Linked DNA regions of Oreochromis niloticus. The protein of the gene in region 1 purifies or fractionates together with the protein of each later gene. This does not show direct contact. Links are inferred from orthologs where the notes say so. Each region holds a gene or a part of one and is shown in the gene's direction. Other genes may lie near its edges.

Region 1 (7,141 bases):
CGACAGGCTGTGAAATAAGAAGCATAAAGGCCTGTTTGTGGCACAGGTGTGCAACAAGACTGACTCACAACTGTCAGAAAAATATGCCAGCAATTATAAGCATTCAATGAGCTTAGAGGAATACAATTCCCACAGGTATGGCGTTTTGTAACCTGTTCCCAAATGAATCAGGTTTTCCATTTGTAACTCATCCCACACTCCATCAAGTTCCAATGTACCCACTGCCCCTAAACAGGAACCTATTCACTCCTGTTTTACTATCTGAAACATGATACATCTGACCTCTAAATGTATCCTGGGTACAGGCTGAGAATGGCCCAGAGCAAAAGGTGAATGAGACATCTCAAACTCCACAAAGGTGCAAAGCAGAATTAAACCCAAACAACAGACAGCTGGACAATGAGTTCATGGAAGTATACAAATACACTGAGAAACTAATTAAAGTAGCACACTTTGGATTTGTTTAACACGTCTTTAGGAAAATGTAGATAAAAGCATTATCTTGTTCAATTTTAAGGGAGCAGATAATGTGCTGTTGTTTAGGCTAAGGTAACAAGTAATGTTACCTTGTGATGAGTAAATATATAGGCCATACAGTAGCAGATGCTCATACTAAAAATGACCGAATTTTCAAATAATGAGGTCGGTGTATGTATAAGTACACTGTGTGACCGAAAACCTAAGGCTTCAAACTGCTCTAAACTTAGAATTTCAGATAGCCTCACTATGGTCATCTCAGGCACACAGCTCTGGCTGTGAGCACAGAAACCCCACCCACCCACTGTTCAATCAGAGGAAAGATGGCTTAAAGGAGGGGGGTGGGAGATAAAATGGCTGAGATATAGAGAATGGACTGGGGACTGGACTAAGACCAATATAAGAGATAACTAGCTGAAATAGAAAAAAGAACCTAGACTAATCATCTGAAACACTGTCTGCTTAGTGACAATAAGGAGTATTAAACATATCTGCATGGTTTATAATATACTCTAACGCAGTCAGCTTTTGAGGTTAAAGAGAGGCTGTTGTATAAACAGATAATGACTGACAAACAGTAAATTAATATTATATATGCATCACATGTGACACAATAATTGTTGAAAAGCTGCTACAGGTTCTGGTGATGGTTTCATTTACCACATGGAACTTAACGATTTTAGGAATATTTTCAGACTGTGCCTGCATGTCGTTTTTACTACACTGTTTTGCAAATCACAGATAATCGATGCTAATCGTTACGATCTTCTTCATCGTGGGGTTTAAGTATGTAAAGTTCAAGGTTTCCATGTCTTCACCTTGGCTGTGCTATCAGCAGTGTTGGAACGTAAAAGAAAAAAAACACTACGCAAACATAGTAATAATTAAAGAGCCTGGTTTATAATCAATACACAAATTATCGTGCATTTTTGTAGTTTACGCTAAGACTGCTGCTCTCCACAGGAGAATGCATATAGAGTAAAAGAAACTGAAATCAGCTTTACTTTTCTATGCGTGAAAGTGCGACAATTTAATGTTTCAGTGAATATAAATTATTGTGTAATGTGCTATGCGGCTTATCACAGCAACATCGTGACTGTAGTACATTTGCTATAAGTATTTCTACACAGGTAAACCAAATACTACTTTTACCCGACCCTCATTTTACTACTTTCTACCATCTACAGAGATGTAGTTAACGAATTCTTGAGTTAAACAGGGCCGTGAATCGTACACCGCCGCAGTGTTTAGCTACCCCGTACCAAAAGTGAGTAACTTTGGTACAAATGCTCGTTTTAGAGGTATGTCTTCATATTTTACGCCGTCTCGTTTCAGACAACAACTTGAAAAAGTCAAACACTTTACCTAACGTTGCTTCTGTTCTGGATATCCCGGTTGGCTGTGGACGGTAACTGTTTTATGCACTCAGCTACTTTTCTCAAGTTCCGACCGCATCTCGCCATCTTCTCTTCTTCTTTAACGGCTTTGTTCACTCCCTCGCTATCAACCAGTTGACAGGGAGCTCTACGCGCAGTTTGGCCCGACCCTCAACAGGCCTAACCCGCTTGCCATTGGACGATCTGTGGCCACCGAATGTTTTTATTGGGCGGTCCCGCCGTTCGTCACGCCAACGTATTCAGGTTCGTGTGCACGAGCTCGCACGCGCATAGAGTCACGAGTTGTTGGCTCGAGTTGCTCTATCGGCCGAGAAAACCGGGTGAAACCTGTTTGTCTTTGCATATCAAAACTATCAATAGGTCAACGTGTTGACCTGTAGACTACACTACACCTTCTTTGTTGTCATTTATTCCTGCTCTGTTGGGCAAATTTGTTAGAATACAGTTTCTACTATTTTTGAATAACAAAGTGAAAGAAATATTTAAAATTCTTTGCAGTAAGGAAGACATTGAAAGTGAAAGTGAACAGGTTTCTGTCTGTGTGCTTTTTTTTTTTTTTTACCTTTTTAAAAAGGAAAGGGGAGCTGTTTGCATATACATCAACTCAGGGGTAAATTATGAAAGTTTCTTTGCTTATCGTGATACATTATATTTGTTTTACTAACGTGTAAGGTACATTTATTATATATATGAATAAATATTGAATGAAATGATATATGCCTATAGGCACTGGTGTTCTTGTCCAAAATACATGTTATAACATACACTTTAGTAAAGCTCATGAAAGTTAAAAAAAAAAAAAGAAGTTTTTTGGGGGTTTAGGTTGAACACAGAAACACTGTCAATTGTATAAACATTTCTGCCCAGTCAGGGTTGTTTGTGGACACTTTGGCGGCATTATTATTATTCAAACTTTGACTTCTGTGTCAAGTACCTCACAGCTGGTGGTACAAGTTTTTCCTGCAACGACATGCATCTTCTGGCATCTTCCTGCTGAGTCACCAGGTAAAACTCAACTGTTTTAAATCTAATCAGTCACTTTCCCCACAGCTATATTCCTCATCCTTCTGTTATAAACACTCGTCACTCACATATCTAGTGTCATGTAGCTTTCTTTTCTAATAACCAAAATGCAAGGCTGGGTCCTGAAATTTCATTTTCTGTGAAAAGAAAAAAGCTTCACAATTAGCTCCACAAGTATTGTCTGTAGTAGATGGACTGCTCTATATAGCTTTTCTACTCTGCTGGAGCACTCAAACTCAAAGCGCTTTATACAGCATGTGTCATTCATACAAGCACTTTTTTCTGTGCTTTCCAACATTCACACAGAGTCATACTTCCATGCATCTGAGAGCAACTCTGTGTTCAGTATCTTGCCTAAGGATATTTGCCATGTAGCCAGGGATCTAACTACTAGCCTTTGTGGATGATCTGTTATACCTCGTGAGCTACAGCCACCCCTGCAGTGTTTCAGATATAGGTCCTCTAGCCAATAGGAGCACAAGAAAATCTAAGAAATAACAGCTGGGCATTTATGAGAAAGGGACATAAACTATAATAACAGGTGTTTTGTACAGACATTTGGGGAAGAAACTTTACCAACCATAGATCTCTTTCAAAGAAGCCAGTTTCACATGAAATAAAAGGTAAACACAGATATTAGTAATGCGAGAGGTTAAAAGCCTTGACTTGAAGTTAAGGTTGTGAACCAGGTGTTAGAAAAGCCTTATGTTTAGCTACTGCTGCATGCCAGAATAGCCCCTGTGAAAAACAAGTCTTCAAAACAACAAAACCTGTCTTATTATCCTTTTCACTTCTGTTTGTGGCATGCATAGTGAAATTACAGGCTTTTTGGTATACGTTTTTACAAAGCAGCCCAGTTACAGGCTTTAATGTACTCCAGGAGACAAAGAAGGAGCTGTGCAAGGAGATATTACTGATTTCTGTCAGGCGACATTCTCCATTTCAATTGATAAAAGTCTGTCATTAAAGATCAGAGTGCTGCTTCTAGCAGAAACATCTGGGAAATCTGAATAAAATAAGATGAGAAAGGTCAATTGGAGGGCTGCGTCAATTGAGATTTTTTAATGGGGTTTTAGGCTAGTGGACATTATACATCATACATGGACGGAAAGTCACATACTAATTGCTTCACTGTATCTACAACTTTTATAAGTATGTCAATACACTACGTCTAATACTAATCCTACTACTAGCAATATAACTACTGAGCGATTGAAAACTGGTCTGAGAACAGCTGGAAAGACACGGAACTCTGAATTAAGTCACATCCGGTTTCAGTCTCGAACAACCGCCACCAAAATGGCGAAGATCGCCAAAACGCACGAAGGTAAATTACTGCTAAAACTACCATAAATATGTTCTGTTTTACCACGTATTTTGCTTTATGGTGTCAGTAAATATTGCGGTAAATTTTCTGGTATTTCTGTTGACGGTAATGCTCCTGTTTATTTGCGAAATAGGCGATAAGCACCAGGCCTCATACGACGCAACGCGGAGCTTTAGATAATGGCGCTGGTGGTTACCGCTTAGCTTTCTTGTTAGCTGGAATGGACTATTTTTCTCAGCTTATTGCACACTTGCATGCAATAGTGGGCGCCATTTGGGCTTTTTGTCTTGGTCCGATACGCCTTTAAGCTAGTATAACTTGTTGTTGTTACTGTGTAATCCAAGGTGATGGTAATTCTTTAATGTCTCAGTGATTCTCGTGGCTAACCGAGTTAGCATTAGCAACCTCTAACAAGCGTTTACCATGCCTACAGCAATTGGTGTCCGGCAGCAGACTCTGATATTAGCTTCATAATCGATGTTTAGCAGGAATATTGAAGGAAATGACCGAGGGCGTTTTCTGTAGCAAGTATTGGAAATCGTTAACCCTTTTCTGTAAAATATTCTAATGCACTGTTTGGACATGACTTTGAGAGTTACGTGACCCAGTTTTTGTTTGTGAAAGCAGTAATTATGATGTAAGTAACGTTTATTTTTAAAGCGCTTTTCACAGGCGTGCATTCATAAAGCCCTGTACTGCAAAATAGAATAAAAATAAATACATAAGTTTAACGCAACCTCACAGTAAAGTAAATAAACTTTACAAACCTAATTGTAGTGCAGGACTGTTCCAGTGTCTTGGTACCACAGATCATGTTTACATCAAAAACTACAGTCACATACGGTGATATTAACAGGCAGAGTGTAAGGAAGTATTTGAGCTTGATTTAAGGCGTGAAAGCGCAAATAAAGGCCCGTTTGCTAGTCTTTGCCAATCAGTCCAATTCTCTGTGTGGGGTTAAAGCATTTTTTAACGTGTAAATCTCTTTGAGAGCATCGTTTGCAAGTACAATACCCCATCTGTTTTTTCTCCTTGCTAAGAAACGCTGAAGATCCTCCTGATTAAATGTACAAAAAATTCCATGATGAAGAGCTAAAGGCTTTTTTCTTCTTCTTTTTTCCTTTTATGAAGCATTCCTTTGTTTCCCTGTGCCAAGGGATGAACTAAATAGGGGGGGAAAAGGAAAAATATATGGGCATGTTATCAAATTTTACAGTACGCTCTATCACACTGGTTTTACACCCTTATCCAGCACAAACTGAAGTCATGCCTCAGATAAATTTCAGTAAATATAATATTTATAGATTAATCAATTCCATTCACCACTGCTGATACCGGGGTGTATGTCAGTCATCCATGCTTACCTATACAGGTGGTTTTTCACCATGTTTCCTTGTGTCCCTACAGATATCGAGGCCCAGATCCTAGAGATCCAGGGGATGAAGGCCTCCCTGCTGGAGGATGGAGAGCAGGGAGTGGGCCTGATCTCCACTGGCGTTTTTGACCCAGAGATCTATGAAGGCAGCGACAGTCGCTTTGCAGGATACGTCACTTCCATTGCTGCCAATGAGCAAGAGGAGGCAAGTATTTATTTATTTTTATTTTTTTTCCTTTTCCAAATCAAACACAGCTTCTTCCGAGAATGCTGTTTTGTGAGCCACAGGTTGTCCTTTGTCAGTTTTGTAAGGAGCTTGACTGCTCCCCTCTGCTTGTTTTGGGGATTTGAGCTAGGAGAACCTTGCCAGTTTGGCAAGATTTGAATAGACTCATTTATTCTCTTTCTTACCTCAGGATGATGAAGATGATACGTCAACAAGCTTGTTGGGACAAAAGAAGCCAGGGTACCACGCGCCGGTGGCAATACTTAATGCCATTCCTCAGTCAGATGAACAGGTATGTTCATTCACTGTTTGGGCTAAATTCCAGTTAAAACAGGGATCTAATTTTAATGAAAAAACAGGCTTGTACAAAATCCTATTTTACTAATCATCGCATGTTTTGTGCTTAATCTTTGCAGTACGACCCATTTGCAGAGCATCGTCCACAGAAGATTGCAGAGCGGGAGGATGAATACAAGGCTCGGCGCAGACAGATGATCATCTCTCCTGAGCGTCTCGACCCCTTTGCAGATGGTAAATTTTGCTCTTTTGTGACCTTTTTACATCTTCCCAAGTTCCTTGCCTCCTCCCCTTCTTTCTTTTTGTTTTCTTTGTTTTCTGTTTTTACACCAATAGTTTTTACTGTTCAACCCTTCGACCACAATGCAATAGCTTGCCTCCCAGACTCAATGCCTTCCCTGTGGTCAATCCTTTCCTCCATGTACATTTTGTGTCGCTGTTTTTCTCCCACTATTAATTTCCAACTGTTTCCAACAAATGTCAGTGTGGGCTCACAATTCATTTCCATAATTGCAGTTTGGGACAGTGTTGTTGGGATTTTAATTTGGTGCATGCATTAAAGGTAATATAGGGTTACCATGCTTTTCAGGGGGAGAGGTGGTTAGGTGTTTATTGCCTAACAAACATGGGTCGCAGATGGGTTGTGTGTGAGTCGAAGGGTTAACAACCCAATGTGATTTATGATGGGAAAGTGCAGTGTCCGCTTGTCACAGAAGTTGAGGATGAAGGTTAGCTCATTTAGCTGCCCATGTCCTGTGCTTTACCACACTGGGCACAGCTTTATAGGTGAATATAAAATATATAAGAGGAATATCATTAATATGCTCTGGTGGTAGTTGAACCAGAAGCATAATTTTAGTTCATAAATCTCTCAAGTTTCTCTGTTATCTGGATGCAGTAACATGACTTGTCAAAGTGCAAATTGTCTTGGGCTTCAGCGTAAAGCGCTGCCTTACAAGTAGGGCTGTCCCGAATATCATATTTTTGAGCTACAGCAGTTCAGAGTTGATCAAACTTTG
Region 2 (7,745 bases), on another chromosome or scaffold:
AACAGTGGGAGCCCATTTTGATTCATCACAATAGAGTGTGTACAGACAGTGCTAGTGAAATAAAAGGGCCAATGAGTGACTGTGGGGAGAATAATAGCCTGCTGTCACTTTTTGTCCTAGGATCAAGCTTTGAAACAAACACAAAGCTTTATTCATCTGAAAGTGAAAACCAACAACATGGATTTGACTTTTATCGATTTACCAGTCTTCCACAAATACAGATTATCTGTGTGCACAGGTAGAAAGTTAACGCCTGCCTTTGTCTGCAGGTGGGCTTGGGCAGTTAGGTGTGGGACTTGCACAGATGCTGAGGTGAGATTGTAGAAATTCCTGAGATTTTGAAACTTGCTAAAAGGTTTGAAGTTTAAATGTCGTCATATTTTTGTTAATGTCTAGAAAACAGTATGGAAGGGACAATGTAATCCTGTCAGACATCAAGAAGCCTCCACCTCATGTTTACGCCAGTGGTATGTAAAATCTCATTCAAGTATGCGTATTACTTTAAAAGTTAATTACTTTATTTTTTTTCTGGCATCACTGTTGTTTTATAGGCCCGTTTGTATACGCTGATGTTTTGGACTACAAACACCTCCGAGAACTTATTGTAAATAACCGCATCACTTGGCTGGTCCACTACAGCGCTCTGCTTAGTGCTGTGGGTGAGGCTAATGTGGCTTTGGCACGAAAGATCAACATCACAGGTCTGCTTGAATATGCACATGCTTTACACGTAACCAGGTTTTAAGGAACAATCAGGGTTGAACTCGTGCTCTCTTCTTTTCTGCCCATCCAGGCCTACATAATGTGCTGGACTTGGCCTTAGAGAACTGTTTGCGCCTCTTTGTCCCCAGCACTATTGGGGCATTTGGTCCCTCTTCTCCACGTGACCCGGCCCCTGACCTCTGTGTTCAAAGACCTCGAACCATCTACGGCGTGTCTAAAGTGCATGGTGAACTGATGGGGGAGGTAAAATGTTTTTTGCACGCGTGCTTACAGAGACGCTTGTGACTCCATTTCATTTTCAATCAGCTTCTCTTTCTTTAGTATCTCCATCATAAATATGGCTTGGACTTCCGCTGCCTGCGTTACCCTGGAGTGATATCAGTTAACACGCCTCCTGGTGGTGGAACTACAGGTATTACCTGTGTGTGTTGTGCAAATGTACTCCAATCCGTTGGATGTCATGGACTAAGTGCTCCGGACTTCTGTCTTCACAGACTACGCAGTTCAGATCTTCCATGATGCTCTCAGCACGGGTCACCATGAGTGCTACCTGCGACCCGACACCCGTCTTCCCATGATGCATATCTCTGACTGCCACCGTGCCACGGTAGAGTTCATGCAGGCTCCAGAGTGCCAGCTGTCACTGCGCACCTACAACATAGCTGCCATGAGCTTCACCCCTGAAGAGGTGGCCCAAGAAATCCGCAAGCATCTCCCTCACCTCAAGGTCACCTACAATCCCGACACTGTCCGCCAGACCATTGGTATGGTATCTTTTTGTTTTTAAATCACTGGTTTGACTGATAATAAACCAATATAAAACTAAATTGTCCTTGTTTGTTTTTTGCAGCAGACAGCTGGCCTGTGAGATTTGATGACACCAATGCCAGGAGAGACTGGGGCTGGGCGCCAGCCTTCGGGCTTGAGGAGCTGGTGTCGGACATGCTCCGCTCCATCCGAGACAAGAGGACCAACGAGGGTTTGCCAGTCAGCTAGCAAAACCTGCTGCATCAAGACTAACCAATGCCCTACCTACCACTAACTTTTCCTCAGTCTACATTTACCAACAGCACACTTTGTTTTACTTCACTTTTACAAATTGTCAACCAGTATCATCTGTTTGTCTGGAGCATCGCTGCACCGTGCCAGGGACTGATTGTAAAATGGAAATTCTCAGTCATAACCTCTTTATATTCAGTGGAAAGTGAGATGTCAAACACATGTGCACCCACACACACACACACACAGACACACACACTTCAGTCTTTTCAGGGAATCAGATACTGTCAAACCTTCTCTTCATCTTTGTGGTTTTTATTGTTCTCATGGTATAAGCATCACTTTACACATGGGCATGTTGCCTCAGGTGGAACAGAAATATTTCTTAAGCTTTAAAGAGTTTCAGATGTTGATCACATGCATGGGCACACCAGCGTGTTTCAGCGTCTGTTACAATATCTAATACAATATGGACAAGTTCCACGTGTAGAACAACAAATCTGTTGGACATTTTGAATCCAGGATCATCTGGAATGACTGGCTCAGTTGACTTTGGACTGTAATGAAAAATCATGTATCCTGGCTGTTTTGTAAAGCACTCTTTTATAATATAGACTATCAAGTGAAACTCACAGTATATACAACCGCACTACCCTTGCCGTGGCACAGAACAGGAAGCCTTTACTTTTTTGCCAGCGGTGTGATTACAAATATGAATGAGTAACAGTATCAAATGAGGCCGTATTTACTTAGGAAAACAATATATTAAAAAATGCTGTGTACTTTGAATCAGACCTTTAACAATAAAAATATTATTTACCCAAAGAGCACTGAATATCGTATGCTGCCAAAGTTTCTTTTTTTCTGTGTCGTTTTTACATCCGAAACACCCGATCAGCATCAAAACAAGAACACTATAAAATGAAAAATTTAACTTTTATTTAAGAAATAGTTAAAGTTTTCTCATCTATGCTTTCATTCTCTAATTTATTCGAGTAACATATACAAAATTAAGGTATTCACCAGCCACTTTGTTAGGTACACCTGTTCAAAATATCTAACTAGCCAATCACACCAATTAAGGCATGTAGAAAGAGTCCAGATAACCTGCTGAAGTTCAAACCAAGCATCTGACTGGGGAAGAAACATGATTTAAGACACCTTAAATTATTATTTTCAGACTGGCTAGTCTGAGTATTTAAGTTCCTGATCTTTTGAGATTTTCCAACACAGCCATTTGTAAGATTTGCAGAGGTTTAAAAAAGAGAAAATACCAAGTGAGTGGCCGCTCTGGTGAAAATCTAGCGAACAGGAAGGCAAAATAAAAAAAAACATGTTATAACCAAGGTCTGCAGACAAGCATCTCTGACTACACAACACATCAACGCTTGTAGCAGATGGGCTATAACAGCAGAAGACGACACTGAGTCCTACTGGGTGAGCTAAAAACAGGAAACTGAGGCTACAAGTCACACAAGCTCAGCAAATTTGGACAAAATAAGACCGGAAAAACATTGCATGGTTGATAAGGCTCTGTTTCTGCAGCAGCATCTGGATGATAGAGTCAGAACTGTAGTAACAACACGTAAGCATGGATCCATCCTGTCTGGAATAAGATAAGATAAGATAAGATAACCTTTATTAGTCCCACACGTGGGGAATTTGTTAACAATTCCAGCTTCTGGTGGAGGTATAATGGTGTCGGGGGGATTTACCAAAATTTCTGCAGAATGTTTCCAGCAATCTGTTGAATTTATTCTGTAAAGAACTAAAGGAAATGGTTATAGAACAGGGCTCCAAATATAATGTCCAACTGATTTGTCTGTGAAGATTCTCAGTCATCCAGGTCATCGTAGTCAAAGGAGTTTGCAAAGAAAAGCGTCTGGACTTCCGTCCAACTGATTCATTTCTTGACAAATATGGTCCAAATTTGATTTTCAGTGCCCCCATCTCTTGTTATGAATGTGGAATTTGTTTTCTGGCTGGAATTGGGACGGGGGCTCCCTCCCCCCGGAGCTTCATGGGAAGCTCTTTAATTTTATTATTAAGGTTTCCCAAAGAAATCTCTTCAGAAGCAAAATTTTGCATCATTATTATACATCACAATTTTTTTTTTGTTTTTCTCATTTGTTTATCTGAGCATTTATTCTTACTGGTGAATGGCGGTTGGTGAGGTTCAGGTTCAACAAGCTCCTAACTGGACAATGGATAAAAACAAAATACTTTTTAAAATCAACAACATTTGAGCAAACCAGTTTAAACCAAGGTTTGGGTCTTATTCATATCTGTGCAAGCTGTCTCTGCATATTGAGGCACATTCCAGTCACTGACTGCTTTGCCAAAATCACTTAATGCAAAATGGACTGTGATTTTTGCAGATGACATTGTGATCTGTGGTGAGAACAGAGAAGAGGTATGAGTAAAACTGAGTACACGAGAGGAACAACACAGGTTAGCAAGGAAGGTGAGATGAAATAAATGAATGAAAATGAATGAATGAATGGTTTGGACATGTGCAGAGGAGGGATAGAAGCTATATTGGACAAAGGATGTTGAAGATGGAACTGTCAGGCAGGAGGAGAAGATGAAGACCACAGAGAAGAAGGATGTTGCAACAGAGGAGGATGCTTGGGATAGGGTGAGGTGAGGGCAAACGGAGGCTGGGGTGACCCCTAGGAGCGGCAAGAAGAAAGTACATAGATGGGTTTGTTTGTTTGTTTTTTAATTTAAACAGAGACATTCCTAAGTGACCTCAAAATCTTTTATTTCAGTGTACATTGAAATAAATAATTCCATGAAGATGAATATCTCCCCATGTTTACCTTTACCAGCGTTTGTTGGAGCTGCAGTTATGTGGTCAAAGCAGAGCAATGAGCTAAATAATGGAAGTTCGTGTGGCGCACTGAAGGCCTGAAGCACATTTAAAGCCAGCAGCAGAATCTCAAGAATAACAAAAGCTAAGCTAGCGACTGCCATATTTCGTGCATCAGGTGATGAGCGGAATCTTCTTCCTCCTCACTGTAGCTGCAGTACCCGTTGCTTCCTGTGGGGGCACTCCATTTATCCGGCTCGTCACCCTGAATTTCACCGGCGGAGCAGCACACGGCTTTCTCCACAGCAGCAGTTACGAACCATTTCACCTAAAATGGACGCGGGATTCTTCCGCGTAAGTTCTTCAAACTTTTATCTTTGTATTTGGTATATTATTATTTAGCTTTATGTAGATCTATATACGTTTTATGGGATGGATGTTTCCTATGTGTCTTTAGTGAAGAGCCATGCAGCTAGCTAAACAGCGGTCAGGGCTTCGTCTATCAACTGGGAGCCAACAGTCTCAAGATTTGCAATCAGTCTGCTTCGCCTAGTGTATTCTGGGAGTTATTGCGTGTTCCCTACATTGATGTTTTCTGTCCTATAGTTTATGAAAATGTGTAGCTTCCTAAGTTAAAACCCCGTACGTGTTATTTTACAGACACATTTACAGGAAATAGACGAGTCAAGTTAGCTAGCTAACTAAAGATGGCGCCCGGGCGGTGCATCGCTCCTGTCTCCATGAGCTAGTCACGACTGCTGCTGTGCTGGCCTTAGCAAGTCCTCCGTGTTTGCTGAATAATGACATTAATGTGTCTTTTAATATTCTGTCAATGTCAGCTCCGCTGTCAGTCAAAGTAGCCTTCGGGCTGTGCCTATTATTAGCCTGTGCGTTCGCTTTCGAGGATTAAGCAAGTGGTTAGCATGGCTAATGCTAGCCGACTGGTGTCAGTGTCGTTTGCGGCTCAGGTCGAGGAGCTAAAAAGAACATGAAGCGGCGCTCTAGGGAACACACGTGTCTTAAGTCTTTATTTTAAGACGCGTTAGCGTAAGCAACGTAATGTTTTTCCATCCTAAACTTTGACTGTCGTTAATAATGTTATCGGTAAGTAAAACTGCTGTAACTAACATGGGCCCAATAGTGAGGAGGCTGTGCAGCCTGAGACTATAAACACTGTTCGAGACGGGTTTCTGTCCTCCTCTGATTTTACATGTCCAGTGAAAGCTGATCATCACGAGTCCGCTGATGTTGGCTGTTATTTCTGCAGGGTACGAGTGCGGAGCAGGACAACCGCTTCAGCAACAAGCAGAAGAAACTGCTGAAGCAGCTGAAATTTGCAGAATGTTTGGACAAAAAGGTAAATGATTACCCGCAGTGACATTTGTTTTGACATTTTTTTTCCAAATAACTGTTAGTGATTAGTAAAATCAGAATATTTTAATCTTCAAAAATCATGTTAAATAGTTATCTACAAACTTGTATCAACATGAGCCTGGACATTCATACACCACAGGTATGAGGGTGTCTGTGAGAGACATTTTAGTGGTCACCACCTCACCAGGCCTGTGATTAATGAGCTTAAGTCAGGTTTTGTTTTTTGTTTTTATCCAGTAGCCAAAAATTAAAGGTAAATGTTCATTTTTCTGTTAATTAGGCATTACTATAACTTTGGTTTAATTATATATAACCTGTTTATATTTTTAGTCTCCACCCAAATGTCATTTTTGAACCTTTGCAGGGGACTGCCTGGTCATTAACAGGTGGGACAACAATTATTATAGTTGAGTAACATTTAAGGAAAGCCACAAAAGTTTTTGATTTAAAAAGTCCTTCTTTTTTGTCACTGTAACGTCTTAAAAGGACACAAAGAAGTGACAGTGGGGTTGAGGGTAGGACGCCATCTAGAGCGCACCATAGTTGAATAGAAGTGATTATTGGAACAGGTTATCACTTATAATGAAAACTTGACACATGATGTTTTCAAAGCAGATCTTAAAACAGCCAAATGTGTTATCAGTTGATAAATTAATGTTAAGCGTTGTTTGTATTTGTCTTCTGTCTATTTTTATTTGTATATCACGTCAGGTTCATGTGACCTGCCCAGGGGCTTGAAATGAAAATGAGCTTTTTTGATAAATTCTGGCATGTATAAGTTTTGTATTTTTTTGAATCGATGACCACTAAGTGTTCCTATGGTGCACTGGTTTACACATTTGTCTTAACAAGCAAAAGATCCCGGGTTTGTTCTCCGGAGGAAATACAAATCCCTCTGGGGTTGCATCATGCCAAATCAGACATGAAGAGCTACCTGTTGTGGCGACCCTTGTGTAGCTTAGATTGACGTCCCTTAACATACAGCGTCACAGTCAGATAAAAACAATTTTAAGGTGCAACGAGATAAAAATTAAACTGGATCCCAAAAGGGAAACTTCTTTGATACAGCAGCTAAAAGTTAAGTCAAATACAACAAACATAAAACGGGACAGCTTTATAGAGTAGAATGAGACATCTCATAAAGTAAATGTAATATTGCAAAACTAATATCTTATGTTAAATTAAAATAAATACAGTAAAATATAAATTTATACAGAAATATAAAGCAGAGCTTTTTACTACATTTTTCACCCCAAAGCCATCCCTGGTGAGAGAATTTTAGATCTTTTATTTGACAAAGAAGGTTTTAAAATTGACCTTTTGTCATTTTTAAATACAATTACTCAGCTGTTTATTTTTACCATGTAAGTCAGATCTTATAAGGATGGTAAAGCTTTTTTTTAAATGTATTTAAATCCTTGCCATAGATGAATCACTGTGTTTTGTATTGTGGGATTTGTGTGTAATCTATTTAGTCGTCAGACATCAGAGTGAAATGGACAGGTTTTTGTCAAATAACACAGTCGCTTTGTGCTCTGATTGCATTTTGTGCCCATTCTGAGCCAGGAAAAGCCATGTTGCATAATAATATATTTATAGCAAAGCAAAATAAAATGGTTAAAAACGACTTACTAAATGTGGCGACAAAACAGAATCGCAAATATCAGATGGAATTAAAGCAGCTGTGTATAAAACAGTGTGATCGGGCAGCGCAGGGTTGAAATAAACTGTTAAGATGAGAGAAGAAAACAAATGGTATGAAAGAGATCCTGTATCTGTTCAGGTGCTTATAAACTGAAACTTACTGTACACTGCAAATGGTGCTGCTTCTCTTCCC
Region 3 (7,624 bases), on another chromosome or scaffold:
TGTAAATGTAAGTACATGGAAGATTGGATTGACAGCACAATAATCCATAGTTTAGTGATTGTCTTTTGACATTGTCTGGAAAATTTCCACAAACACTTTATGAATTTGAGAATTTGTTGATTAAATCTTGCCTTGGTAACTATTGACTTTAACTGAGCACATTTATAGTCTTGCCCCCTCTGGTGGTTATGCAGCATATTACAACACATTTAAAGTTTTATAATATACTGCTTTCTTTATGAGCCCCTACTTACTGTGCGTACTACTAATCTTTTGTGCAGGGTGATGGAACAGGTATCTGCAGCATCTATAGGGGTCCATTTGCAGATGAAAACTTCAGAATAAAGCATTCTGCTGCCGGTCTTCTTTCAATGGTAAGTGTTTTGATAAATCCTAAATCTCCACGGATACACTTCAGGTAAATCACCCTAACCAAAATGTGTCTGTTTTAATAATGTATCATATTACAGGCAAACAGTGGTCCAGGAACAAATGGTTGTCAGTTTTTCATTACCTGCACTAAATGTGACTGGCTAGATGGAAAACATGTGGTGTTTGGTGAGTAAATCAACAGTATTGCATTTTTTTTTTTTTAACTCTATTGTCTGTGTCAGAGTTAAATTGACTTACTTGTAATTATTACAGGAAAACTGGTCGATGGCTTGCTGGTCATGAGAAAAATTGAGGTAAGAACTTACCTTCCCTATAAATCTATCTTGCCATATTTTTTTGTAAACACTCATCACTTTACCTCTGGTATGTTTAAAGTTTCAAGAACTTTTTAAAATCAATTATCCAGCCTAATAATGACACATACAATTTGATAATCTTTTAATGTTTATGTAACAAATAATTAAACCTCTAACTTGTAGTCCATATAAATCACCATAGTTGGATGTAGTGCTTAGATTACAGCATTTTTGTTCTAAATGTGTGTCGCTTTCTTCCAACAGAATGTCTCAACAGGGCCCAACAACAAGCCTAAACTCCCCATCATCATTGCACAGTGTGGAGAGATGTGAGCCGACACGTGCTAAACACCATGTCAACATTACACAGCCTCTGTATACATTTAATGTCTTAATTGTGACTTGTTACTCTTCAGAAAACATCAACACACTGATTCCTGCAATGTCCCATAGTGGACATTGATGTATTTATTTGGTTTCAGACTTCATTTGTTTTAAATTCAAATTAAGTCCAAATTAAGACTGTTTGTGTACATTTTTTTTAAATTGAAGAAAGAATTACATGGTTGTCACACTTTGTATTATTTCCAATCAATAAATTGCTGTACATTTTTATAAATGTTGCAGATTTTTTTTAATATAAAAATTTTCAAAAGGATTTCATTAAGTGTCAAAAGGCAGCTCTGTTGCAATACTGATGATCGGATATAATCTAGAAAGTAGTGAAAGCCAACTATAAATAGTCATTCTAATCAATAATTCACATCATTAATAATCAGATTTACCTAATGATTAACTTCTTATCAACTTAATGTGTGTTTGAGAAACTGTGGCAGTGTCTAAACTTGGAAAGAACATTGTGTACCCAGAGTAATATGAGCTGCTTTGGTAAGTGTTACTAGCTCTGTTTCCTTATAGTGCCTTTGATTAAAAATTGATCTTAACCTCGAAGTTATGAAGGAAATGAGAGAACCACTTTACAGTGAAACACATCTTCCATGGCGCTCACTCCAGTGCTGAACTTATGGCTACCTCTTCTATCTCAGCCATCTATACAAATCTAAGCCTCCACAGACCCCCTCCCCCATCCATGCTCTCCCTCCTCAGCCTTGGACATCGTTCCCTTGGCATAAAAGAAGCTTTTCAGATGGAGACGCTGTTCTTATGGAGACAGGAAGGAGGCTTTTTTCCCCCATTTTTTGAAGGGGGGGATCTCTGTGGGGAAGCTTTCTGGGGTCATTGCTAAAGCCCATCTTTGTGTGTGGGAGAACGGTGCTCAGACATTAACAGCAAGCTCTTCACACATCGGTCAGTGCTCGTAAACAGTGCCAGTGGAGCATTAACATGACAATGGAGGGGAGGGGAGGGGGCGTTGTGGTGGAGTTGTCCCACACTCAGACTGGCCCTGTCTGCTCTGTACTACTGGAAATGGAGTTTCTAAAGTCACACAGAATTATGACTGGATTTAACCAGTTAAAACAGAAAATTACTTTATACTTGCTTTTTCAATATCCATCCATCCAACCATTCGCTTCCGCTTATCCTTTTCAGGGTCGCGGGGGGCGCTGGAGCCTATCCCAGCTGTCATAGGGCGAGAGGCGGGGTACACCCTGGACAGGTCGCCAGTCTGTCGCAGGGCTAACACACAGGGACAGACAACCATTCGCACTCACATTCACTCGCACATTCACACCTAGTGACAATTTGGATTATCCAATTAACCTATCCCCACAAGCTGCATGTCTTTGGATGGTGGGAGGAAGCCGGAGTACCCGGAGAGAACCCACGCAAACACGGGGAGAACATGCAAACTCCACACAGAAAGACCCCGGCCTGATGGTGGAATTGAACTCAGGACCTTCTTGCTGTGCGGCAACAGTGCTAACCACCGTGCCACCGTGCTGCTGCTTTTTTAATATTTCTGCTAAAATTTGGTTAGTGGTTAATATATAATGTACAGAAACACCTTATTTAAACTGTGATGTAATTTTCGACAGTCAAAGATAGTTATGGTGTAACTAAGGTCATTAAGATTTCCAGAAATGTTAAATGATTATTCTTCTTTTTAAATATGCTTAGGTGTAATAATTATCATTAAGATTCATGTTGTTCTCCCCCTTATTTGAGTCTTAAAACTAATATTGCATATGTGTGTGTATGTAATAGGGGTTTTGAACACCAGGCCTTGAGGGCCGGTGTCCTGCAGGTTTTAGATAACACCCATGGTCAGCACACCTGAATCAAATGATTAGTCTATTACCAGGCCTCTGGAGAACTGGAAGACACTTGAGGAGGTAATTTAGCCATTTAAATCAGCTGTGTTGGATCAAGGACACATCTAAAACCTGCAGGACACCGGCCCTCCAGGCCTGGAGTTTGACACCTGTGGCTTACACTGTAATCTCCATTTGGTGGCTTTTTGGCAGCACCTGTAACATTCAGCAGTCGCCTCATTGTTCTGACACACAACACAAAACTATCCACTACACTACACACTAACTACACAAGAAAACACACTAATTACACACTCCAAACGTCACAAATCTCTCACTTCTTAAAACTTGCTCTCTCATTTTTCCGCTCTCTTTCTCTCCGTCACTCCTAAAACTTCCTCCCTCTTCCTAAACAACCAAATGCCATGTTTCTATATCATTTTTTGATTGGTCGACATTGTACATTTTTCCACAACACGAAAGGGGTGTTTTTTGTTTTGTTTTTTCTTTTTTGGTCATAAGCAGATAGTGCTTGCTAGCGCTGCCCTTAGAGGGTAAACGTGACCATAGTATTCAGGAAAAAACACCACGTATATGTTGTTTGTCATGACTCTTGTGTTACGTGGCCTATCAGCACAATTTAAAAACTGGTATATATCACCTCTTTGCTTTGTCATCTTGAAGTGGTCATGTGATTCAGGATTCAAGATTTTTTATTTTGCCATTTGCACACAGGACCAACAGTCCATGTACATTGGAATTCTTGTGCAGAGCTTTCCAAGTCTTACTACGACTACTATATTCTTTCTCAGTCAAACTGCAGCACTCATGGGATTGTTTGGCCCCCCTTAGCTCCAGGTGTTGTGCCAAAAAGTGATCGTCTGCCAGAAAGTGATTGCCGTCCGCGGGAGCGCCCGCAGCTACTTAAAGCTGTAGCGCCCAGACTACTTATGTAGACAGCTACTTCCATGCAACTGATATAAGGTGCGGTAAGATGAACACAGCTTCAGCCGTCTGTTTGTTGAAAAATAGTAACGCGACCGCACCGCATTTTCATGTTAGTAACGGGTACGGCGTTGTAAAGATAGAAATAGTAATTAGTTAGATTACTTGTTAATGAAAAAAGTAACGCTGTTACTTATAACGCCGTTATTCCCATCATTGGTGCGCACACACACACACACACACACACACACACACACACACAGTATATCGATTTTTCATTTAACCAGCGTACAAAATGAAACTGAAAATACTTTAAACATTCAGGCATTGTCTTTCTTAATGGGCCCGTGTTTTTGTGTTTCTAGATCTCTTAAACTGCTGACTTTGCTCCGAATTTGAAGCATGCGATTACACGATAATCACACTATTTGCAATTTTATATATTGCATAATGATAACTACAATTATATTTTAAACTATATGCATATTAGGTCCAAATCCGTCAGCAGAACAAGATTTTAGTAAGTAGACACTGTTCCAAAACTGTCACGGTTATGCAGTCTGATTCGTCTGGCTCTGACATCATAAAGGGGTGGTGAGAATGGACAGGTACGGTTTCCTTTACCCAATCATTTTACCCAACGCGTTTCTGAAGCGAAATTGACAGTTACTCTGGCTAATTGGAACGCGAGTGTTTCCTGTTACACTTTCCAACCAATTAGAATGGCAGTTGGGCGGACCTCCGAGTAGGAACATTCCACGGCACCTCATCTCATTCTGCCCAGTTAGATCGGCAACGGGAGCGGAAAGAGGAAAGCAGAGAGCCCGAAGGCAGTAGCCCCCACCACCGCCGGCCCAGGTTACCATCTAGCACCGGGAAATATAGCAAAGAGCCGCCGCCGGCTGAAGCCATTACCAACAAGTAACAATGAGCAGCGAGGCCGAGACACAGCAACAACCGCCGCAGCCTGCTGCCGATGCGGAGAGCCCATCCAGCCCGGCAGCCGCAGCTTCCGCGGGGGATAAGAAGGTCATCGGTAAGACTGCTGGAGCTAGTTAAGCTAACTAGATAGCTAACGTGTTTTACGGCACAGAGGCAATGCGCAAAAGTGGTGCTGCTAATGTTGTTAACTCGATCCACAGCTCAGTCTACCTTAAACTAAAATACATTCGTTAGAAACGGCCGTTGAGCCGCACAACGTTAGCACATGTTAAGTAATGGTAGGGAAATTTTTATTTTAGCCAACGGGACCCAGTATAGTTTTGGCTAAAATTGAATTATTTCATGGGCTATGTTCTATTCAGTGTGTTGGCGTTTTCTAACGAGAAGCTTTCTAGGAAAAGTTAAACTAATCTTCTTTTGATGTCTGAAAAACGCTAAACGTTTACGTGCTAGCGATACAGAATTAAACTATCGGTTGGAAGCCAGACAGTGCAAGCTTTTTTTTTTATATATATAGTTTTTATACATCGCTGCTTTAATAGCTAACACTTTGGCCTTCATATTAAATAATTTTAGACGACATGAGTATTAAAAAGGTATTAATGAGGTATTTTAGACTTTCAATCTTTCCTGTTCATCGGCCTCCTCGCGTCAAACGTACGCCATAGAATGCCGTGGTACCGGGTGGCCGTCACGTAAATGGTCGCTGAAGTGGTTTCTGGCCGTTATCGGATCCTGTGTATATACGCCAACGTCGGTGCTGATTTTAGGCAGACAGTTAATGGGAAATCATGTATTAAAGTAATAAAGTTAACTTTAATGCCGTATTTGTGGAACACCGAAATATCCACTGGCTTTACCGGTTACAAATTATGTCGAAATCAAGCTAGCGTTAGCGACTTGCCGTCCTTTGTTCGCACGAGTCTTGCTCCCTGGTGAAATATTAAAAAAAAAAAATCTATAACACTCGAAACTATGTTCAGACTTTTAACTGTTACAATTAGCAGCGAATTATATTTGGATTTGATCGGAAATTCACCAGAGCACAACTGTCAGCGGTCGACTATTTTCGGTGGAATTGATGAGGTCTCGTTAGGGCCTAGCAATCGACCGACGGTTGCTGGCTTGTTTGCGAAGCTATGTTAGCTTAGCCAGCTAACTTGAGCTATTTACATGGCTAAAGAGGCCATCCAAAATGTCCGCCGTGTATTCCACTGATTTCTTTCGCCATTTCGTTGGTTGTTAATTGAAACCAGTATAACCGTGGCATTTTTTCTAATTTTTTTTTTTTTTTACGTGCTAAGCATTTGGTCACAATAGAAGCTGTCCGATGTGTTATGTTCATTTCCGCTTGCTGGCAGTAATCCAAGCACATGGTTCAGACCTTCTCAGCTACATAGCTATGCTAACAAGCCAGCTGAGCTTGCTAACATATCCGGGCGCGATTACCACGTGTGAACGCTCAGTAGTGCGTCTAAAATGGGGCACTAGGTCTGCTGTAGTTAAGTCAATGTGTTTAGCTACAGCGGCCTGCTATGATGATGTTGAAATCTTTGATTTGGATGGCATCACAGTAGAAAGGGACGTTATAAATAGGGGTAATGAAGTCTTGAAATTCACACGAGAAGTAATCTAGTCGGTACTCATTCGTGGTACTCGTGCATGGTGTTCGTGACGGTTCATACCTCACACCAAATGCAGCTGGCACAAGACACTCCTAAGCGCCGGGATCTATAATAGGAATGACAGTTGGGAGTTATATTTAACTTCCACATCAAACGTGTCACTTTCTCATGGTCTGTTCTTATTTTACACTTTGTCATTATTAGAAGAATTATTAAATACAGACATGTATCTAAAATGATCATTAATACATGTTCATTTTTTATTTTTTTTAAAGCAACAAAAGTCTTGGGTACAGTCAAATGGTTCAACGTCAGGAATGGATATGGGTTTATCAACAGGTAAGACTTCGCCTATCCCTTCTTTCCAAAGACCCTCATAACAGCTGTGTGTGTGTGTGTGTGAGAAAGAACATTCCCAATCCTATTATGGCTATGATTTGCTTACAAAGCTGCCCAGATGAATTATCTACTTGTCTCCAAACTGGTTGCATGCATCTATTAATCCTTACACTCATTCGCTTTGTTGTAGTCTGCAGAGGTATCACTGCTTTTTGTGGCTCAGTAGGATACTTCTAATGGTGTTCTACTTTTTTTTAATATTCATAGGAATGATACAAAAGAGGACGTTTTTGTACACCAGGTAAGCTTTGCAATATTGTATTTCTTTTTCATAATTTAACAAAAAATCTGATGATTATGGTGATTAGAAACATTTCAAACATGAAACATTGTGATTTCAGACAGCCATCAAAAAGAACAACCCGAGAAAATATCTTCGCAGTGTTGGAGATGGAGAAACTGTGGAGTTTGATGTAGTCGAGGGAGAGAAGGTAAGCTGTTCTTTGGTTAGTAATTCGGTTTTGTAGTCTGGCAGCTTCTAAAGAATGAATGTTCTCTAGTTATAAATAAATAAATATTACTGTGGACACAGGGAGCAGAGGCTGCAAATGTCACCGGCCCAGGAGGTGTTGCAGTCCAGGGAAGCAAGTATGCTGCTGACAGGAACCGCTATAGGCGGTACCCCCGAAGGAGGGGCCCTCCCCGTGGAGGAGAATATCCAGAGAACTACCAGAGTGATGGAGAGGGCGAACAAGGCAGCGGAGGACGTGACAAAAGCAGAGAGGGTGGAGAGAACGCCCCTGAAGGAGACTCGCAGCAACAGCAGCGCAGACCCACTTACCCTGGCAGACGGCGCTACCCACCATACTTT
Region 4 (7,873 bases), on another chromosome or scaffold:
ACACATCCTGGTACCAGATTTAAGAGATAAATATGAACAAGAACTTAACATATTAGATGCAAACCTTTCAAAAATATGCATTTCTCAATACCTAAACTACTAGTAAAAGGCTCCCCCTTGTGGAGAATCAGCAACCTGCAACAAGTGAGCGAGTGAACCCAGCTCCACTAAAAGCTTTCCAGACTGATGACTGAACAGCTTACTTTGAAGCGGAGGTAGGCGGAGCCACGCTCACAGCGGATCCCTCCTGTGCAGTACATCAGAACCTTCTTGTCTCTGAACAGCTCAAGGTTCTGGTCCACGTAGTCTGGGAAGTAGCTGAACTTACGGATATTAGGCGCCAGGCACTGAGTGAACTGCCCCTGAAGGCAAAAAAAAAAAAAAAAAGCAATTATTAGCAATTATTAACTGTAACAGCCTTTGCACATTACTCTATAATAGCACAATCTCAATACCACTGCTTCTGGCTAAAATACTGAGGCTTATGAAATTGATCCCAGTCATGCTTTTCTGTTTGGATACAGACTCATTATTTCCAGCTACAAATATCAGTGTTCTGCCCATCCTTCATATTTGCTCATGGTAGCTTGTGTAGATGGTGCACAAAAAACTTGAAATTACACCATAAATCTCTGGGCATGTCATGTGATAAAGCCAAGATCATACATTACCCTGAAACCACCAAGCTAATCAGATTACTTTTGAATGAAGTCAACAATCTCCTAAAGAAAATGAATTTTCTACTCACAATTTTACTCTCATAATAGTTGCGGCAGTCCAGGAGGATGGTGTCATTGCATGAATCTCCTTTAGTCAGAAGAGCTTCCACTTCTTTATGAAACTCTTCGGGCTCCAGATGAACTCCTGAGAGGCAAAACAGACACATACCTGACATTATATACAAGCACAGCATAGAGTTTCTCAGCAGCTGGTACAAGAGCACAGCTATGGCTGCAGAGTAGCAATCAAAGCAGACATTTCGCACCTTATTATGATAATAAAGGCAATGATGTTAGTAAATCAGCTACAGGTGTAACTTACATTATTAATAATTTCTATAGGCTTATAGTATCATTACAAATAGTACAAATAGTACCTGCCAGCTGGTAAGATATAACATCAGGGTCCACTCCCATTGGTACAATCTCCTTGTAGACCCCAACCTTCAACTCTGTAAAACACTCTGCGCCACCGTCACTGGTCTGAACAAACCCACAAAAACAGCACCATTAATGTTCAAAGATTAACAAAAATAAATTAATAACTGCTTAAAGCCTCTGTCAGTGCGCCCCAGGGTGGCTGTGGCTACAACGTAGTTTGCCATCACCAGTGTGCGAATGTGTGCGTGAATGGGTGGATGACTGGATGTGTAAAGCGCTTTGGGGTCCTTAAGAACTAGGAAAGCGCTATACAAATACAGGCCATTTAAAGTCTGATTATGGACAAACCACACCCTGATGGAGCCTATAACTATGATCCTATGACCCACATCCACCCATCCACATTAAGGGGACGGCTGTGGAGCGTGTGAGCAGCTTCAAGTTCCTGGGAGTCCACATCTCCGAGGATCTCATCTGGACGACCAACTGCTCCAAGCTGGTCAAGAAGGCTCACCAGCGCCTCTTCTTCTTGAGGACTCTGAGGAAGAACCACCTGTCCTCAGACATCCTGGTGAACTTCTATCGCTGCACCATCGAGAGCATCCTGACCAACTGTATAACAGTCTGGTACGGGAACTGCTCTGCATCGGACCGGAAGGCGTTGCAGAGGGTCGTGAAAACTGCCCAGCGCATCGCCGGAGCACCACTTCCTGCCATAAAGGACATCTACAGGAAGCGGTGTCTGAAAAGGGCTGGGAAAATCATCAGAGACCCCAGTCACCCATCACATGGACTCTTCACCCTCCTGCCCTCTGGGAGGCGCTACAGGAGCCTCCGGACTAAGACCACCAGGTACCGGAACAGCTTCTTCCCCACAGCTGTCAGACTCCTGAACTCTGCCTCCTGACATCTGACCCACGTTAAACTCATGGACTGAACATACACACACCCACAACCACCTACACACACACACACAATGGACAACTGTACCCTCAAACACACAATAATAACATGGACTGAACCACCACTCACAACCACTAGCACTTTATATAGCCTCTGTAGAAATTATCCACATATCTCACTTATCTTAACTGCACTCCTGTATAGTTCTGTGTAAATAATCATTCTGTACATACGATAATTTTTAATCCTACAACTGTTCATAACTTGCATAGTTCACATTTCTGTATAACTGTATATCTCATATTTCTGTATAGTTTTTATTTCATATTCTGTATAGTTTTTCATATTTATATCCTGTTCATAGCCTGTACATAGCTTGTACTCACTACAGCCTGTACATACTTATAGTTATAGAATATTCATAACATACTTCATACCGTGTACATTATAACATACCATAATAGACCCATTTCTGTAATATACTTACACATCTCTATTATTGCTAATATATATTGTAATATATCTATATCACGGCTAAAGCACTTCTGGATGGATGCAAACTGCATTTCGTTGCCCTGTACCTGTGACATGTGCAATGACAATAAAGTTGAATTCTATTCTATTCTATTCTATGAAGCAATATTAAGAGGGGGAGGTGACACTGGTATATAAAATTTCCCTTTATCTGAATCTGACCTTAAAATCCTCCTTATCCATCTCAAACAGTGGATGTGAACGCATTGCTTCCATGTAAATGTCAGTGGCCAAGTTGGTGCCACCAACTGTTCCGTTGATGCCTTCAGTCGCCACCCTCACCTGAAGAAAAAGATCAACATACATTTTAATGGCACAGTTTCACTGAAATTAAGAGAAAAGCCTTTTTTCTTTGCTCTTTCATAGAAGTGTTCCTCAGCCCGAGGCAAGATAGGAGAATTCATTCACCTTGCCTGTTAAGTGGAGTTTCTCACACAGAGCTTTCTGCCAAGCACAGATGACATGTGGCTCCTCGACGCGACAGTAGTGATAGTAAAGCAGAACCCTGCCTGGACCGCTGATAGAGAACGAGAGAACAACGAACAAAAATAAAACATCAAATTCAAAAATTAAAATGGGACACATTAATAATCTACATATATAGATTAGAAATATAGAATATAGTGAAATAACTGAATTCAGATTGTCTTTACTTTTTAAGTTGCTCCTCAGAGATGTGGCTGATATCGGGAATCCACACAGAGACGTCCACCGTTTCTCCACTGTGCTCATTCAACTGCACCTGCGCTGCTTCGGGCTCTTCTTCCAGTTGGCTCAACAAACGCTCATACTCGTCCTGTGTGAGCTGCTGTATTTCAGCATTGTGCACTCTGGCCACGTGTTTGTGAATGGCGGCGTGCTCGATGAACGTCTGGCCGCAGCAGCACCACAAAGGGCTTCCTTCCTCGTGACTACCGTCCTTCTTGGATGCCACAAAGGCAGCAAATGACTGAGGGGATAACATAAAAAACAAATAAAGAGATAAATCTTTAACATGGTCAAACAGATGTTTAAGATTTTATAGAAGACTTATATATAAGACAGTGGCTGTGTGATCGTATTCCACAGTTTGGTGCATATGTTGCCCAATATGTGATAATATTGAAATTTGTCCAGAGTAGTTTAGAAACTGTATCAGTTTCTAAAATAAACGACTCGAAAGTTGGTAAATAATGACCCTTCCTTCTTAACAATATATTACTATTGTGTTATTATTATATTATCCAACTTAGGTTTGTTGGGAGAGATGAAGCCTATCCCAGCTGACACTGGAAGGTAGGTGGGGCACACCCCACCTGTCAGTCCACTACAGACTGTAAAACAGGACATGGGAGGATATCAAAGTACCAGAAGGAAACCTATGCAGGGGGGGAATGCAAACTCTACACAAAAAGACCAGCAGGTTTAAACCCCAGAACCTTCTGTAAAGACTGTGACCACTGCACAACTGTTTGTAATAAAAATTTAAGAATAAGAGTTGACATATTGACATCTGAATTTTTAAATCTGTCCCTAACATTTTATATTAGCATCAGCCTTCCTTAGCCTAAGTTATTAAGTTATACAACAACAACAACAACAATATTTTTTAAGAAGAAGAACTACTTTTTTTCTGCTACACTCCCAGCACACAGCTGAGAAACCACTGATTACAAATACAAAATTACAGAATGTAAAACTGATCATAACGTTTTCTAATATTGTTGTTCATAAATTTGTAAACTGTCACCAATTGTCTTTTGCAATTTGAAGTTGCAGTGAGTGTTATGAGTGTGCTCAAATTTGTATGTATTTTCAGATTTTAACTATAAAATACAGATTACAGATCAGATTCATTTTGATGCTAAGAGAGGCCAGTGACAATTTGAGGCTTTTATCTTTCTTAGATTTTGAGATATTAATGTTCAAACATTGCCTCAGATTTCAATGTGCGAAATATCTGGAAATTTCACAATAATCGTTATATATGTCCAACAATTGAACCATAAAACAGGGATTCCAGTCAGTGTGTCCTGATGCTCACCTTTCTCCTGCAGAAGCTGTAGTATCTCCTTTGTGGGGCAGAAAGTTGCTTCTCGTGTTTGAATCCATTACAAACTGAAGAGTCAACCTCCCAGTTTATAAACTCTGAGCAGGGTGTATCTTCCGCCGCCATTGTGTTTTTACAGAGCTTTTAAAATAATTAGCGACTAACCCGTCTCACCAGAATTAAACACAAAGTCTCACATATTATTTTAAGGAAACAAACAAACAAATCCTCCAAACGTGCACCAGAAAATTCAGCACAAGACTCCGGACACCAAAGACGGGTGCACTTTCCGGGTTAGCCGGATGTGCTTCACTTGAATCAGACCGCTTTTATTTTTCTCTGAGCGGCTGGTTGCTGAATGATCCATAGATAAACTCGTTTAACGGACTCATTGTTTTGTTTCTCGTTCAACACATATTTTGGCTTTGTTACATTCACATCGAAGCGGGGTGAAACATGTCCAGGAGGCGGCACAGCGATGAGAACGACGGTGAGTCGGTGCACGTTAACGGCGTGTATTATTCACACCGTTAGGCTAACCAGCGGTGGCTAGCTGGCGTTAGCGAGCTTTTCATGCGTCCCCTGCGCAGTGTTGGGAGGGTTATTTTACTAGTTTGATGTTTGGGTTTTATCAACGACATCCAAAAAGTGCAAAACCATTGATGACCGCAGGTATTCAGTCACATTGTGGCGCACTGAAAGCGAGAAAAGTGCTCAAACTGTCGCATGCAGCCGCAAAATGAACCGGTGCAGTTAGCTGCAGGATTAGCTGGCGTTAACCAGGGTAGCCAGTGACTATGGGGGCGGTAACCAAACACTGCAAAACATGCACGACATTTAGTGTTAACATCTGATTGAAAGTTTAACTATGGATCTGGATTTATGGGCGGGGAAAATCACCTAAAAATATCAAATGTTTTCCCGTAGAGCGCAAGATCCTGAATTTAAATGGGACCTGGTCTGCTTAAAGATTAAATCAGATCTCGTCTCTTAATCTGGGACTACGGTAACTTTGCATATGTACATGGGCAAAGCAAGTTTGTTGATATAGCACTTTTCAAACACTACAGTCATTCGAGATGCTTTACAAGATTAAGATTAAAACAGAAAAGAAAAGAAGGGAAAAATGCAGTAATAGTAGTAATATTCATAGCAACAACAATAATAGCAATGATGGTAGTAAAAAGCAGAGATGTCAAAATTTTGTGTCATGGCTCACATACAGCTGCATACAGTGGCACATACAGTTTGAATTATAAAACCTGTCTTTTTTGTCTGTCTTTTAAAAATTATACATTTCTACAGTGAACGGAAACATATCTGTCATTTAATTGTTCACCTGTTGCTTAATTAATTTGGCATAGGATCAGTGGCCATGGAGTTCTTTATCTGTATAAAAACCTATAAAAGTTATGAAAATACAATCAAGAAGCCAGAATTAATACCCTCCTTGACACTTTTGAAAGCTGCCCATGGGGGCCTTTCTTGGGCCGATTCTGGCCCCTGGCCCTCATGTTTGACACCCCTGGTTAAAAGCATAGCAGCTAAGTGCTTTATTACTCAGTTTTGTTTCAGATTCAAGCACTATTAGGTGACCAGATCTTGCAGACCTTAGAGAATTATTGGGTTTGTATCTATAAAACAACTCAGATATATATTTAGGGCTGAAGCCCTTTAATGACTTGTGTAGTGTGATGTGTAGTTTCTTTTCCAGGAAGAAGCATGTCAGGTTAAGTCATCAGATTTCAAAGGAGTTTGCTAGTATGAAGTACCTATGCCGTGCATTTATAGTGCAAGTATAGAACTGCTGTTAGATGTGGCAGTCTGCATGCGACACCAGGAAAATAACTTATTAATCCCAGAAAGAGAACGCTGTTGATACAGTGCTGTTTGGTTTGATAAGACATAACGAACAACCACTCGAGACTACATCCTTACTTTTAATATATTAACAGTGTTAATAAACCTTTATATAAATAACAGAAAATAAAGAAAAAAATAATGTAAAAATAATTTGGTCCGCTTTAAATGTTCAATTCAATTGCTGGATTGATGTTTTGTTAATGCTCTTATTCTTTAAATGACAGTGTAAGTGTGCTTTTCTGAACTTCACAAAGCTTTATTTTTATCAGTTCATTGTTTAATTCATAGTCCTGTGCTGTCTGAAAACCACTGAACATGAAATGGCAGTGTAACTGATGAACACAGCAGAGAATTTATCATCCTAACTTTGAGAAGACTCATTGAGATTAAAAATCTCTTTTTAAGAGTGCACTAGCTAAGAGAAACTGACAGATATTTCCTACAGGAGCTGGTTGAGCCTCTTCTGGCTCTGATTATTGTGTTACTCTTTCACCTTTCCAGGAGGTCAAGCCCATAAGAGGAGGAGAACATCGGAGCCGATTGAGATCGAAGACCGTCTGGAATCACTGATATGTCGTGTTGGGGAAAAGGTAAGGAGACACTACAGGAAGGACACATTTTTATTTTCAGGATGAGTAGCTTCATTTTCCGCTCTAGAGAGTTGAGCCTCACAAGTTCAGTGCAAAACTTTGCTTCTAAAAGTAAATGCCAGAATGTTCTTTATATGTCTTCTTTGCTTTGTGTTAAATTGCCTTCTAGTGACAAATTGCTCTTGTGCGAAAATATTTCCTTACAGAGCACATCGTCCCTCGAGAGCAACCTGGAGGGCCTGGCCGGCGTCTTAGAGGCAGACCTCCCAAACTACAAAAGCAAAATTCTGCGCATTTTATGTACTGTGTACGTTCACACCTCTTCTCACCCTTTGATTTCTAATAAATTTTGCAAGTGTGTTTTGTGTGTCTGCAGTCGTCATATGTTGTCATTTGTTGACAGTGCCCGCCTCCTGCCCGAGAAGCTGACCGTGTATACGACCTTAGTCGGCCTCCTTAACGCCAGGAACTACAACTTTGGGGGCGAGTTCGTTGAGGCCATGATCAGGCAGTTGAAGGAGACGTTAAAAAACAACTTGTACAGTGAAGCTGTTTACTTGGTATGCTGGCTTTGTATAATAATCTTACAGATTGCTTTTAAACTAATTAACATGGCCACTTTGGCATTTATTTTTCATAATGACATCTCTTTCTTTAGGTGCGTTTTCTGTCTGATTTGGTCAACTGCCACGTGATTGCTGCTCCCTCTATGGTGGCCATGTTTGAAAACTTTGTCAGTGTTACTCAGGAGGAAGATGTGCCACAGGTAGGCAGACGGTTTATGGTGTAAAGCAAGCTGTATGGTACCCAAAAGCAATTTAAATAATTTGTAATGTTCACATTTGTGTCAGACT

The links.
Region 2: the proteins of sf3b1 (region 1) and srrm1 purify together in Homo sapiens (co-immunoprecipitation; 3 studies listed by BioGRID and IntAct, with this or other methods). This does not show direct contact. The link is inferred for Oreochromis niloticus from reciprocal best matches to the Homo sapiens genes SF3B1 and SRRM1.
Region 3: the proteins of sf3b1 (region 1) and ybx1 purify together in Homo sapiens (co-immunoprecipitation; 3 studies listed by BioGRID and IntAct, with this or other methods). This does not show direct contact. The link is inferred for Oreochromis niloticus from reciprocal best matches to the Homo sapiens genes SF3B1 and YBX1.
Region 4: the proteins of sf3b1 (region 1) and ncbp1 purify together in Homo sapiens (co-immunoprecipitation; 3 studies listed by BioGRID and IntAct, with this or other methods). This does not show direct contact. The link is inferred for Oreochromis niloticus from reciprocal best matches to the Homo sapiens genes SF3B1 and NCBP1.

Annotation. Positions count from the first base shown.
Region 1 is NC_031987.2:32,303,570-32,310,710, reverse strand, and holds the start of sf3b1 (splicing factor 3B subunit 1), read left to right. Parts: upstream 1-4,136; 5' UTR 4,137-4,196; coding exon 4,197-4,224; intron 4,225-5,631; coding exon 5,632-5,804; intron 5,805-6,015; coding exon 6,016-6,117; intron 6,118-6,241; coding exon 6,242-6,356; intron 6,357-6,681; exon of another isoform or gene 6,682-7,141. Other genes in the region: coq10b (coenzyme Q-binding protein COQ10 homolog B, mitochondrial), read right to left, coding at 1,843-1,940. UniProt on the Homo sapiens protein: Component of the 17S U2 SnRNP complex of the spliceosome, a large ribonucleoprotein complex that removes introns from transcribed pre-mRNAs.
Region 2 is NC_031983.2:27,507,878-27,515,622, reverse strand, and holds the start of srrm1 (serine/arginine repetitive matrix protein 1), read left to right. Parts: upstream 1-4,736; 5' UTR 4,737-4,867; coding exon 4,868-4,888; intron 4,889-5,801; coding exon 5,802-5,891; intron 5,892-7,745. Other genes in the region: tdh2 (L-threonine dehydrogenase 2), read left to right, coding at 270-312, 397-467, 552-701, 794-966, 1,045-1,135, 1,218-1,487, 1,574-1,719. UniProt on the Homo sapiens protein: Part of pre- and post-splicing multiprotein mRNP complexes. As a component of the minor spliceosome, involved in the splicing of U12-type introns in pre-mRNAs. Involved in numerous pre-mRNA processing events.
Region 3 is NC_031984.2:24,180,242-24,187,865, reverse strand, and holds the start of ybx1 (Y-box-binding protein 1), read left to right. Parts: upstream 1-4,606; 5' UTR 4,607-4,774; coding exon 4,775-4,883; intron 4,884-6,689; coding exon 6,690-6,753; intron 6,754-7,020; coding exon 7,021-7,054; intron 7,055-7,154; coding exon 7,155-7,244; intron 7,245-7,345; coding exon 7,346-7,624. Other genes in the region: ppih (peptidyl-prolyl cis-trans isomerase H), read left to right, coding at 1-7, 282-374, 471-558, 646-686, 954-1,022. UniProt on the Homo sapiens protein: DNA- and RNA-binding protein involved in various processes, such as translational repression, RNA stabilization, mRNA splicing, DNA repair and transcription regulation.
Region 4 is NC_031966.2:10,221,325-10,229,197, reverse strand, and holds the start of ncbp1 (nuclear cap-binding protein subunit 1), read left to right. Parts: upstream 1-4,872; 5' UTR 4,873-5,022; coding exon 5,023-5,056; intron 5,057-6,930; coding exon 6,931-7,019; intron 7,020-7,225; coding exon 7,226-7,326; intron 7,327-7,422; coding exon 7,423-7,579; intron 7,580-7,677; coding exon 7,678-7,785; intron 7,786-7,873. Other genes in the region: tstd2 (thiosulfate sulfurtransferase/rhodanese-like domain-containing protein 2), read right to left, coding at 1-7, 204-362, 749-864, 1,097-1,202, 2,700-2,819, 2,946-3,054, 3,191-3,486, 4,561-4,692. UniProt on the Homo sapiens protein: Component of the cap-binding complex (CBC), which binds cotranscriptionally to the 5'-cap of pre-mRNAs and is involved in various processes such as pre-mRNA splicing, translation regulation, nonsense-mediated mRNA decay, RNA-mediated gene silencing (RNAi) by microRNAs (miRNAs) and mRNA export.